Drosophila melanogaster: one gene and its partner. The protein of the gene in region 1 interacts with the protein of each later gene in a pairwise test. Each region holds a gene or a part of one and is shown on either strand. Other genes may lie near its edges. The genes, in order: CG2247 and CG14151.

Region 1 (7,690 bases):
CATGTCGTACGTATTTTTATATATTTATATACATACATACATATATAGTAACGTAATTATGCCTTCCTCATAATTCTCTTATACAAAAGACCGACCGCGGTGGTCCGCCGTATCGATTCCTTGTTACTCGATATTGCGCATCCACTTAAGCCGTAACCAAAACCCAGACACTAGGCAGGCACATACATAGCCACGTAGCACATAAGAATTCTTTTTCATATGTATGCACAAAAGCATAAGCAAGAAGCGCTCTCGCGCAGATCAAGTAAACAACCCACTAACCAAGTACATTTAAGATTTTCTCACACCATTTGTTTCAGTCTTAAGCTGATATTCAATCAATAAAAACGCAAAGCGAATTCATTCGAAGTTTTTATTCATTTCGGTTCAAATACGGATCATTTATTCGACTCAAAAGCAAAAATTATTTTACTATATGTATTCTCGATCCACATGACGCGACGCGGCGCAACGAAATGTCGACGGAGAACAAAACTCAGAGCTGCATTTGTATTACACATTTCGTTGACATTTTTTTTTTTTCAAGAAAAACGAGAAATATCTTTAAACAAAGTGTACTGTATATTTTTGGAGATTTATTATTAAGATCTTATATATTTAAATGTAATAAAAACAATGTCTTTGTACGAAGAAGATGGGTGTTTTGCGTATGATTTTTATTTTTTTAATTGTGTCATTCATGTTCAAATGTAATGAGTACAACTTTGATCTTGCCTTCGTAGGACCAGCAAGACCAGGCAGAACTACTTACACGCAATCTTACATAAGTACTATATTTTTATAGTGAAATTTATAGTTCACTTCCCAAAACAGTGGTTTAAGTCGATTTAGTATGATCCAGCAATTAACCCATTTATTTATTATGTTTACATGTTTTTCTTTTCTGTTCATTACAAGCTGTCAATTTGTAAGCAGCGTCGCTTGATTGCATCGTTCACAGCTTGGGACAAAGTAATGTACTGAATGTCGTTCAAAGATATTGTTGAGAGTGTGTTTAAATGTGGTGTTCGGAGGTGATGCTTCTCGAGAAGACTCAGTCTTGGCATTCTCTGCTACTGGGAGGGCTTATATATGAGCTAACTTATGGCACCTAGGAATAACTAGTGCGTTAAACGTTCTTACTTGTTTTTCAACTGTGGCCGTTTGAGGAAGGTAACCATGGTGCTGTTGAACATGTTCACCTTAACAAACGTAACAAATGTTGTTGGTGCCACATCGCGCAGTATCATCAGCAAGCGCTTGGCGGGCAGAAAGGTAACGCATTCCGTGTGGTCCGTTTCAATGCAACGGTCATCGGGAGCACAATAATTAAGGTCATCGTCCAGCGGAATTCCCGGTACAGGGCGCTCCACGGGGATCACATCCTTCTTACTTCCCCTGTACAGCTCACCCGTTGCACTCAACAGCTGGGTAACCAATCCTAGGCGGAACACGCGAAGCTGCGAGGCATTCTCGCGAACGGCCCGCATTACGGAATAGATCACGTTGGCCGAATTTTGAAGACACTTTGGGACGAGCAACAGGTGCGTAACAGTGGTGCACATTCCAATCAACGAAGTTAGAAGGTCATCCACCTCGACGTTCACCAGCTCCAGTTGCTGTACCGAACAAGCAGCGGCTACACCACACATAATGTGGTACAGCGGAAAAGTGGTATTGATCATGTGCTTGTTCTCCAAGCGGAGCCTGCGTAGAGACGTTAAAAAGGGCAGCACTTGCTGGCCAAATTCCTCGGTATCCATGCCCTGGCATGAAGACAACACTAGCACCTTCAGGTTAACTAGTTTCTTCAAGAAGCGGAAGTCCTGCGAGCCTATATAATTCACTCCACGTATATTCAACTCAGTTAGATGCACCAGGTCGCCCAGAGAGTCTAGTGATTCCACTTTGCTTCTGTGGTCCGTCATTAAGATTTGAAGCACGCGAATCTTAGACCATTGTCGTGCCAAATTTAAAAAATTAAAAGTTGGACTGTAGCAGATTGCCCTTAGCTCCAGCAGTTGGGGCAATTCACGAAAGACCTTAAAGAGGAACTGGTCATCTACTGGACAAGTGCGAAGAACACGCAATGCTTTCAGGACGCTAATGTCGAGTGTAGCGAGAATATCCGGAGGATTCGGCAATATCACGCCCAGCATGTCCAGTTCGCGTGTGCAATTATTTGCGAGTTCACGGATAAATCGCGGCCAGTTGCTGATATGGGTATCGCGTAGCATGACTGTGCGCCATACACTCTTATCCTGACTGATCATGGCCCATGTTTTGCAAACCTGCGCCATATTTACACGATCCTATATGGGATGGGATGGGATTACGAACTTCAATTTTACGATGACCTAGACATTTTACCTTCATCGTCATGATTTTCATAACGGCCATCACTATCTGGCATCCGATGTGACAATCGCCCAGGCTCTGCACCAAACTGGAGCTACATTTGTCCTTTGAGATCTTTTTAAGGCCAGCCAAATTCTGCCGGTTTGGAATCCTGATAAGTTGAGGAAAAACATATAAATAACTGTGCGTTTCGTAGGTTTTTTGCGTTGGTCTTGGAACTAAACCGACTCACACTTTCAGATTGCAACCAATCGGATCGGCTATGATGGCTATAGCCTTGCGCCCTCCAATTACAACAACCTCTTGTTCCTTTATAACGGTCTGCTTATTCACGTTTTCTAACTGCTTTTTCTCCGCCTGTTGAACGGATATTTCATTTTCCAAAGTGACTTCTATCATGCTGAAGTCACTGTCATCGTCATCATCATAATGATCCTCATTTCCTCCAGTCTTTTTCATCCATTTCTTATTGGCATATCCCTTCTCATAGATACACTTCTGAAAGAGGATATTATAAGCCAGTGAATCTCCAATAGCATTTCGTAAATTACCTTGCACAACTTAGGTCCAGACGGATGAACAGAAGCCGCGCAGCGCACACAAGGCTTTGACTTATCAGGGGCTGCCTTTGCGTGAGCTCTGGACATGAAAATACCGAGTATATAGAGATTGATATGTGTATATATATACAATATATCTACCTGCGCCTGCGAATGTTGGTATTACCAATCGGTGAACCGCACGAGCTGCTGTTGGTGTAGTCTGCCCGAGAATTCCCCTTAACCGCCCTGGTCGAGGTCCAGCCCTCACTCGGTGGACTTGCCCCTTTGGGCACCTTGGGCTTCGACACTCGCTTTCCAGTGACCGTTAAGGCAGGCGTCTGGGGCATTACGTTGGACGGGTTGGCCAACCCAGCCTTGCCTTTCACCACCGCCCCTTGCTTCGCCACCGTTTTGCACTTCACAACCGCCACATGTTCCATCTCCGCCACCTTTGGGACCGGGCTACCATTGCTGCGAGGCCTGGGATTTTCGGAGCTGGGTATAAAGAGATCTCGCTCTACGCCAGTTTGCTTTAGGCGTTCGAAAATAACTTTCAAAGAGGTTTCGGTGGATGTTTCTTTCATTATGTTCGTCTCATCGGTCAGAGGCGTATGGCTACTGAAGCGCACTGAACGACGCGAATGCTCCGGAGGCGAATGGGTGGACATAGAACGTTTTACGATGCGAGCGTCCTTAAGTGATTTGTGCAAGGTATGATCAGCTTCCGCCTGCTTCTTGGTGGTATCCTCTTTTTTATCTTCAACCTATGGGGGAAGATACAAGAGGGAGAGAAGATCAATGGTTAGTAAATCTGTGAAATTTCCGACTCTTAGCATAAGATTTTTTAAGGGTCTCCACCTGGTTGTATAAGTCTGATGGTTGCATGTTGGTTGGTGTTGTACTGGACTTGGATGTTGTTGCAATACCAGTTGCATTTGGACTTTTTTTTGCGTTCAAAGGGCTTTTAATGGCTGCATCCAATTCCCCCTGGGAGGCGTCGAGTGGCGACGTCATTATCGGCGTTGTTAGAGACGGCTGCTGCTGCTGCTCCTCAGACTTATTAGTGATATGAGCCGGCTTTGTTGTACCTGCCGCTGTCTCCTCTTGTGGTTCCACTCTCGGAAAAACCTTTAGGCCACTCCATGGCAGTACACCTGGCTTGGCCGTCGACTATTGCCGTAGTGTGCATGTTGTGTATTGTTTGGTTGAGATTTGAGATAAGCACAGATACGATTTCGTGTTGAGAAATACAATAATATAGAACAAACAAAACGATGTCCGCACAACATAGACCTCTGTATACCAGTTACCAAGTTTGATTGGAAAAATAGTCAAAAAACAGTTTATGGGGATCTAATAACCTTAAGTTCTTTCGATTTATGCAAATTTCCGTCCCAAGATTATTTACAATATTTTTATGTTTACATAAGTTTACTTTACAGGTAAAAGTAATTTGAGTATAAGTTTTAAAATAAACTTATACTCAAATTATATTGATTAATTATGTGTATTTGTGAATAAATACCGACCGAAAGGGATATTCAAATTAGCCCATTTGTGGATTGAACATGAGTATACAGAGGTATGTTCTATAAGCTTGAACAGACAGCAGCAGGCCAGCTCGTGTCCTGGACAGCATCGCCATCCCCTCTACTCACCAGCGGTTCTTTATCCGAGTTGCTTTCGATGTTGGATATGGGTGTTAGCTTTGGGAATTCTCCAGTCCATCCCATTAGACCTAAATCGCACGGTTCAAGATCGTCACGATGCGTGCTGGGCTCACGATGACGTTCACGTTGACGGCCACGGCGTCTGCGGCGTTCAAATTGACTCTTGTCATTTAATGTCTTTGAAGTCTTAATCATAGTACCTAAGTGGGTTTAGATGAGATGTGTTATTATGCTACAGATGCTGGTTATTTATTTATGCTTACTTTTTTTTCCCTGCTCAGTGTTCGAGTCTTTAAAGCTAGAGCCATCCCGGTGAGTCGAAAGATCCACGTTTGTGGAATTGGCATTTAACACCAGCAAGTCGCCCTCAATAATGTTTTGTCCCACGCCGGCACTCTGTTCACCAATGGAACCTTGTTCATCTATAGCACCGCCTGTGCTACTTTGATTGGCGCCGGAACTAGGTCCTGCAGCTGTAGATGATTCGAATGCGGAATCAACGTTACCGTTACCACCGGTATGCGACGATGAATTGGTAGCGCTGCTAGAGTTGCCAGCTAAGGGCTGCTTGTCACACGGCTTTGACGGCCCAAAATTGTCATCGGGCACATCCATGTCGCTCTGGAATCGATGTGCAAAAAAATAAGCTAAGTTTCTAGATATATGTTGTATATGTTCTCATAAAACATTAATAGTGATCACTTATGGAACCGATAGGCAAACAATTCAATGGAATTTCGTCTGTCAAAAATATTGACCCTGAAGACCTGGGTTGTCACTTTTTCCACAACCGACGTTTTATTGTCAAGTCATTTAATTTAAAAAGTATGCGATGTAAATTCTAATCAGAGTTAGCCCTTTTTAATACAATACTTTACAATAAACGAATTCTGCCGGTTAATCTGCACACAACTCACACACACACACACACACATGTAAATTTATGCGAGTGTCAGGGTTGCGCGGCTTCGCGGTTTGTTTTCTTTACGTTTCTGCTTTGATCGCCACAATTGTTGATCGAGAGGAAACCTGACGCACACATACGAAAAAACTGAATAGCGGGTTCTTGCACTTTCGCCGGCACAAAGTACACAGTTTTTCTCGTTTAAGTTAAATTTACTATCACTCTTTCGGACCGTTTCGCTTTGTTACTGTGTTTTCAGCCTATGCTTTGCCGCTTCTTCGGCGTATCGCGAACTTGCGTTGCAAGTAAGTGTGTGTGTGGATGCGACGCTTATTAAATCTGCACCGGATTGTTCAGCTAACCGTGTCAAAATCATGTAGAACTCAACAATTTTGTTTTAATTTTTGAGCTTACCTTTGTAAAAGAAATAAAAAGTTCACTTGAAAAGACACTGAACACGACAACTTCTTTCGGAAATATAAAACGAACCTACAAGCGTACTTAACTTGTCGACTTCCACTCACACAATTATTCGGTTAGATGGAAAATCTCGACAACGATTATTCAATACTATCGAATGAGTTGTAGGATTTTCTAACACATGTAAATACCAAATTTTAGCATATGATATGTTTTAAAACTTACCGGCATATACATTCACTGAGATCACAGATTTTATTCAAACGAATGTCTTAACATATATTTATATATATATTTATATTTATCTCAACACTTAAATACTAAAAGACACGTTTATCGAAATTGCCATTTTTGGAGACACCTAACGGGTTTTCCATCGCACAGTTTCGTTCCATGTGCTGTCATCGATAGTCCAACAACAAAATATCGCGTGCAATCATCCCTGGCGACACAACTGGTTGTACATATGTATATAGCGACATTACACACCTACATATATACACCTACATATTGCCAGCTCTGCACGTGAAATCCGAGGGCGGCTGTTGTAATCTGTGATCAAATCAAGTGAGTCCAAGCGCTAAATGCAAGTACTATAGGCCATACAATAGCATCTCTTTATCCCTATGTGTTCACAGACATGTCCAAGGCCAAGGGTAAGAAGAAGGAGCGCTTTGATGACGACGAGGAGCAGCTGGAGAAAGTGCAGGAGAAGAAGCCACCGACAAGCAAGAAGGGTGGTAAGAAGGGAAAGCGAGGAGGTGGCGGCGGCGACTCCAGCGACGAGGATGTCACGACCAGGAATCGGGACAACGAGGATCTGGAGAGCATAGCCTCATCGAATCAGAGCAAACAGCAGACTGCCGGCAAAAAGCAGGCCAAGAAGGGTAAAAAGGGCAAGAGGAATAATGACTGGAGCGACGAGGATGAGAAGCCAGAGAAGAGTTTGCCTGCCAACGACTTGGACGATGAAGATGACGACGAGGCGCCTCTGGCATCCAAGCCAGCTGCTAAAAAGCCACAGCCCAGCAAAAAGAACAAGAAGAACAAGAAGAAGAACGACGATTTCTCGGACGAAGATAAACCGGAGCTGGACTTGGACGACCTGGACAATGAGGAGGATGAGGTGGAAGTGGTTGCTGTCAAGCCAGCCTCCAAGAAGTCCAAGAAGAAGCAGCAGGCTCAGCAAAAGAACATGTTCGCCATGAGCGATGATGAGGAGGATGAGGTTGCCGATGATCTGCCAAATGACAGCGAAGAGGAGGAGAAGGAACAGCTGTCCAACAAGGCGGCCAAGGAGTCAAAAAAGGAACAGCAGAAGCAGCCCGAAAAGGAAGTGGAGGAGCAGAAAGTGGAGCAAGTCCTTAGCGAAAAAGTGGCGGCAGTAAGTCTCAAGGAAAAGACACCTGAGCCGGTACCCAAGGCCGAGCCCGAACCCGAGTCTGAACCCCAACCCGACGAGGAAGCCGATGCTGAGGTAGATTCCAAGTTCGAGGAGAGCAAGGAAGCCAAGGAGAAGAAACTCACTCACAAGGAGAAAAAGAAGCAAAAGAAGCAGCAGGAGTACGAACGCCAAATGGAGCTGATGACAAAGAAGGGTGGTGCCGGTCACTCGGACTTGGACAACAATTTCACCATGTCGCAGGTGCAGAAGAGCGCTGGTCAAAAGGCGGCTCTGGAGCAAGCCGTGGATATCAAGATCGAGAATTTCACCATCTCAGCCAAGGGTGAGTCATCATTGCTATAACTTTTCGTTGTGCATTATCAATTTTAAATCCAAACATTTTTTTTTTTTT
Region 2 (3,225 bases), on another chromosome or scaffold:
GCTTTAAACTAATATTACATTTTACTACTAATCGATTTTATATAGGTGGCGGAAAAAACGAAAAGAAAAAGTCTAAAAGCCCAAAAAAGAAGAAAGGCAAAAAATAAGATCTTTCAACTTTAGTTGGCTTTGTATTTCCGTACTAAAAAAATATATATTTATTAGATTGTTTCAAACATTTGTGTATCGAATAAATTTATTTCTTACAAAATGTCTATTGAATCGGGAGAGCTAAAGTTGCCTACGGATAATCTCCTAAGGACATGCTTTGTTATTGGCGCTTTTGAACTGGTGCGTTCATTGTATTTTTCATTTAGTTCAGTTTCACTCATGGTCTTGCACGTAAGTATTGTATTTGAAAAGAACGTTCTTTAACATTTTTAGCCATTTATTGTTTTGCATTAGACGAATTGGTATACCATAATGGCCTTTCTAAGTACAATAGCTTGGATTGCGACCGTTGGTGGACTGTTTGTTGGTTTATTGACAGTAAGAATTAAAAAAATTTACCAACTATATACATATTTAACTGTTTCGTATTAATTAGAGTCGACCAACTCTGCTCGTATTTTGGTTACTGTTCACTGCCTTTGCAACTGCTACGGATATTATTTATTTAATATGGAATGTTACTTCATCTCCTATTTTCGACGCAGAACATTTAAAGCGCTGGACCATTTCATATTTGGGAATCTGTATGTTTTTAATTTAATAGCATTCTTAGACATTGAATTATAAATCTTTGCAGTTTACGAGGTCACTTGCTTATACTTGGTATTCAGATACTTTAGGAGATTATATTCCTACGTCCTTTTGGAGGGTGATAATTATGATACGACTACTAAAGGTGAATAGCTTAAGCACAGATTTATACGATATACTATACATAAATTTCAGATAGAAAAACAGAAGATTACAGAGATAATGAGACTCAAACCCAATCTCCAAGTTCAAAATACAGGACTTCTGGAAGATCTTCTAAAGGATAAAATGCCAGTTTGGACAAAAACAGCAAAAAGCTTGATTAATAATGATCATTTATGTTCGTTTCATTATGTTCAATGTCCACACACGGTTCAAAATCCCTTTGGAGTTACTAAAATAAATTAAAAATGGTTTTCTTCATGTGTTATTTGGATTTCTATTTACGGGAAATCAATTCCCGACCCCCCATAAGCAATGATAATAATTGACTTATACAGTTTTCCATCTATTTTCCGATGCCTGCGAGGACGATAGGTGGTCACGTTGCCATCGAGGGACCAGGAAAAAGGACAATTCAATCTCCAGGACCTGCTGACAAAACAAATGCCATAAATGAGGAACGAAGTTCGCCAGCAAAAAGCAGTTCACATTGGTTTAGAATGTTTTGGGAATACACTTGGCAGCTATTTTTAGAGCTCAGTATTTGAATGAAGAGATTATAAATGCATGTAATTTAGATGTATAAATTAAAACGGAAATTACAAAAAAATTCATGAAACTAAATATAATTCGCAGGAACATTGAACTTGGCATATATTGAAAACTTCTGTAGTGTATTGTACTTTTGGCCACTGAGTCTCCCTACATTCCCACGCTTGAATACCACTGTGCTGTGTCCATGAATGTTGGCAATCAAACGGCTTTGATTAACAGGCCGCCAAGACCCGAGTAACCCCCTTCTCCAATCGCCAAGTACGTGCTTATCATCATTATAGCTTTGATTTAGTAGACAACATTGCCAGTGATGTGATGAATCTTAGCCTGGGCGATGGGGTCAAATTCTGATGGATATTTAGTGCCCTGTGCCTATTGCATCGCCTTGCTGGACTTCATATCCGCCCTGCTATTCGCAATTATCTCAGGAGTGGTATTTGCCAGGCATGTAAGACAATTAGGCCACAGTCCTTTCAGGGAAATTGTGGCTCAATTTTGGTATTTGCAGGGTCATTGGACCGCCTTGGTTGCACTGATCTTCACCATTTTCTGGATGGTTATAATCATAGTTTTGATGGCGGGTATCTATAGGCGAAAACTGGGACTGGTACGATTCTGGTTGGTGTTCACCTGCTTGGGAATACTTCTAGATGGATTTATACTGCTCTACGGCCTGACCTTGGCCATATCTGTGAACTGGGAAGGTGTCAAAATCACAGTGCTGCCCTTCGTAGGACTGGGTAGGTCTAAATAATAATTAGCGTATTTAATTTACTGAATATATAATTGAATTTCCTTTTAGCCGTGGAAATGACTTTTGTCTATATCATATACCTACTTTATCTGGATATGATTGATTACAGTGCAACAGAAACGCCTCCCGATGAGAAGTATAGAGAAAGGAGTGGCTGTGATGTGAAATACGCTGAGGAAGAGGAAAAGCCACTGGATCGCAAGGATCTGAAACGGATGGAAAAACAAGCCAAGGAGCGTATGAAAAAAGATAAAGCCGTTCTCAAAAAACTTCAGAAACAAATGCGAAAGTGAAGGTATTAAGTGTTTAAAGTATTGATTTTTATATTTTTAAAATAAACATGAAATTGAATGCATTGATTTGAACTTTTCTTTTTGTCTGAGACAAGCTCTTTAACTTTTATCACACGCAGGATGCGGACCACTCACACCTACACAAGCCACTCACACACACACACACAAGAACGCCAATGTTAAACACAAAATCCTTTTAAAATAATTTGCTCAGCAGTGAGTAAAGAAAAAATCTAGAGATACAAATGCAGCTAAACGAATTCGAAGAGTTGCATGCCCTGTAGATAAATAATATATTTTTAATATTTTTACAAACTTGTCTTTTAATATTTTAGCTATAAAATAAATATATATAACCCTTCATTTTACGTTGTTGAGCTGCTGTCTGAAGGTCTGAAAAAACCCATCTTCATTGGTTGTGACGGAGAGTTTTTAACTATTTTTCCCCTGCTATTTTGGTTTTGAATAGGTCTTTTGGTTTCGCCATAATTAAAATGATGCCTTTGGTGACTGTGTTCTCTTTCATAATCCATACAAGCTTCCTGTTGTGCTATTTTTGTGGCTATAGCCTTATGACAGGCTTGGCAAAAGGCCAAAGTCACGTAGAACCGTTGAACGATGTATAGAAAAATGCACTCCACAACTGATAGAAAAATATAAAGTTAATTTTAAGGTGATACTTCTAATATTGCACTCACTCAATCCCACCATGAGTAATAGTCCATTTTTGACCAGACCCATTTGGAAGGAGCTCTCGTT

The links.
Region 2: the proteins of CG2247 (region 1) and CG14151 interact in a two-hybrid assay, tested with the Drosophila melanogaster proteins (one large-scale study listed by BioGRID).

Annotation. Positions count from the first base shown.
Region 1 is NC_004354.4:11,605,644-11,613,333, forward strand, and holds CG2247 (uncharacterized protein), read right to left. Parts: upstream 6,010-7,690; 5' UTR 5,889-6,009; intron 5,192-5,888; 5' UTR 5,186-5,191; coding exon 4,834-5,185; intron 4,771-4,833; coding exon 4,559-4,770; intron 4,071-4,558; coding exon 3,759-4,070; intron 3,665-3,758; coding exon 3,060-3,664; intron 2,998-3,059; coding exon 2,910-2,997; intron 2,857-2,909; coding exon 2,591-2,856; intron 2,510-2,590; coding exon 2,371-2,509; intron 2,313-2,370; coding exon 1,140-2,312; 3' UTR 647-1,139; downstream 1-646. Other genes in the region: CG1703 (uncharacterized protein), read left to right, coding at 6,535-7,621.
Region 2 is NT_037436.4:10,626,982-10,630,206, reverse strand, and holds CG14151 (uncharacterized protein), read left to right. Parts: upstream 1-1,722; 5' UTR 1,723-1,753; coding exon 1,754-1,867; intron 1,868-1,927; coding exon 1,928-2,159; intron 2,160-2,221; coding exon 2,222-2,466; 3' UTR 2,467-2,527; downstream 2,528-3,225. Other genes in the region: CG42535 (uncharacterized protein), read left to right, coding at 46-107; CG42536 (uncharacterized protein), read left to right, coding at 211-342, 406-489, 548-695, 749-847, 898-989; CG34238 (uncharacterized protein), read right to left, coding at 2,832-3,109, 3,165-3,225.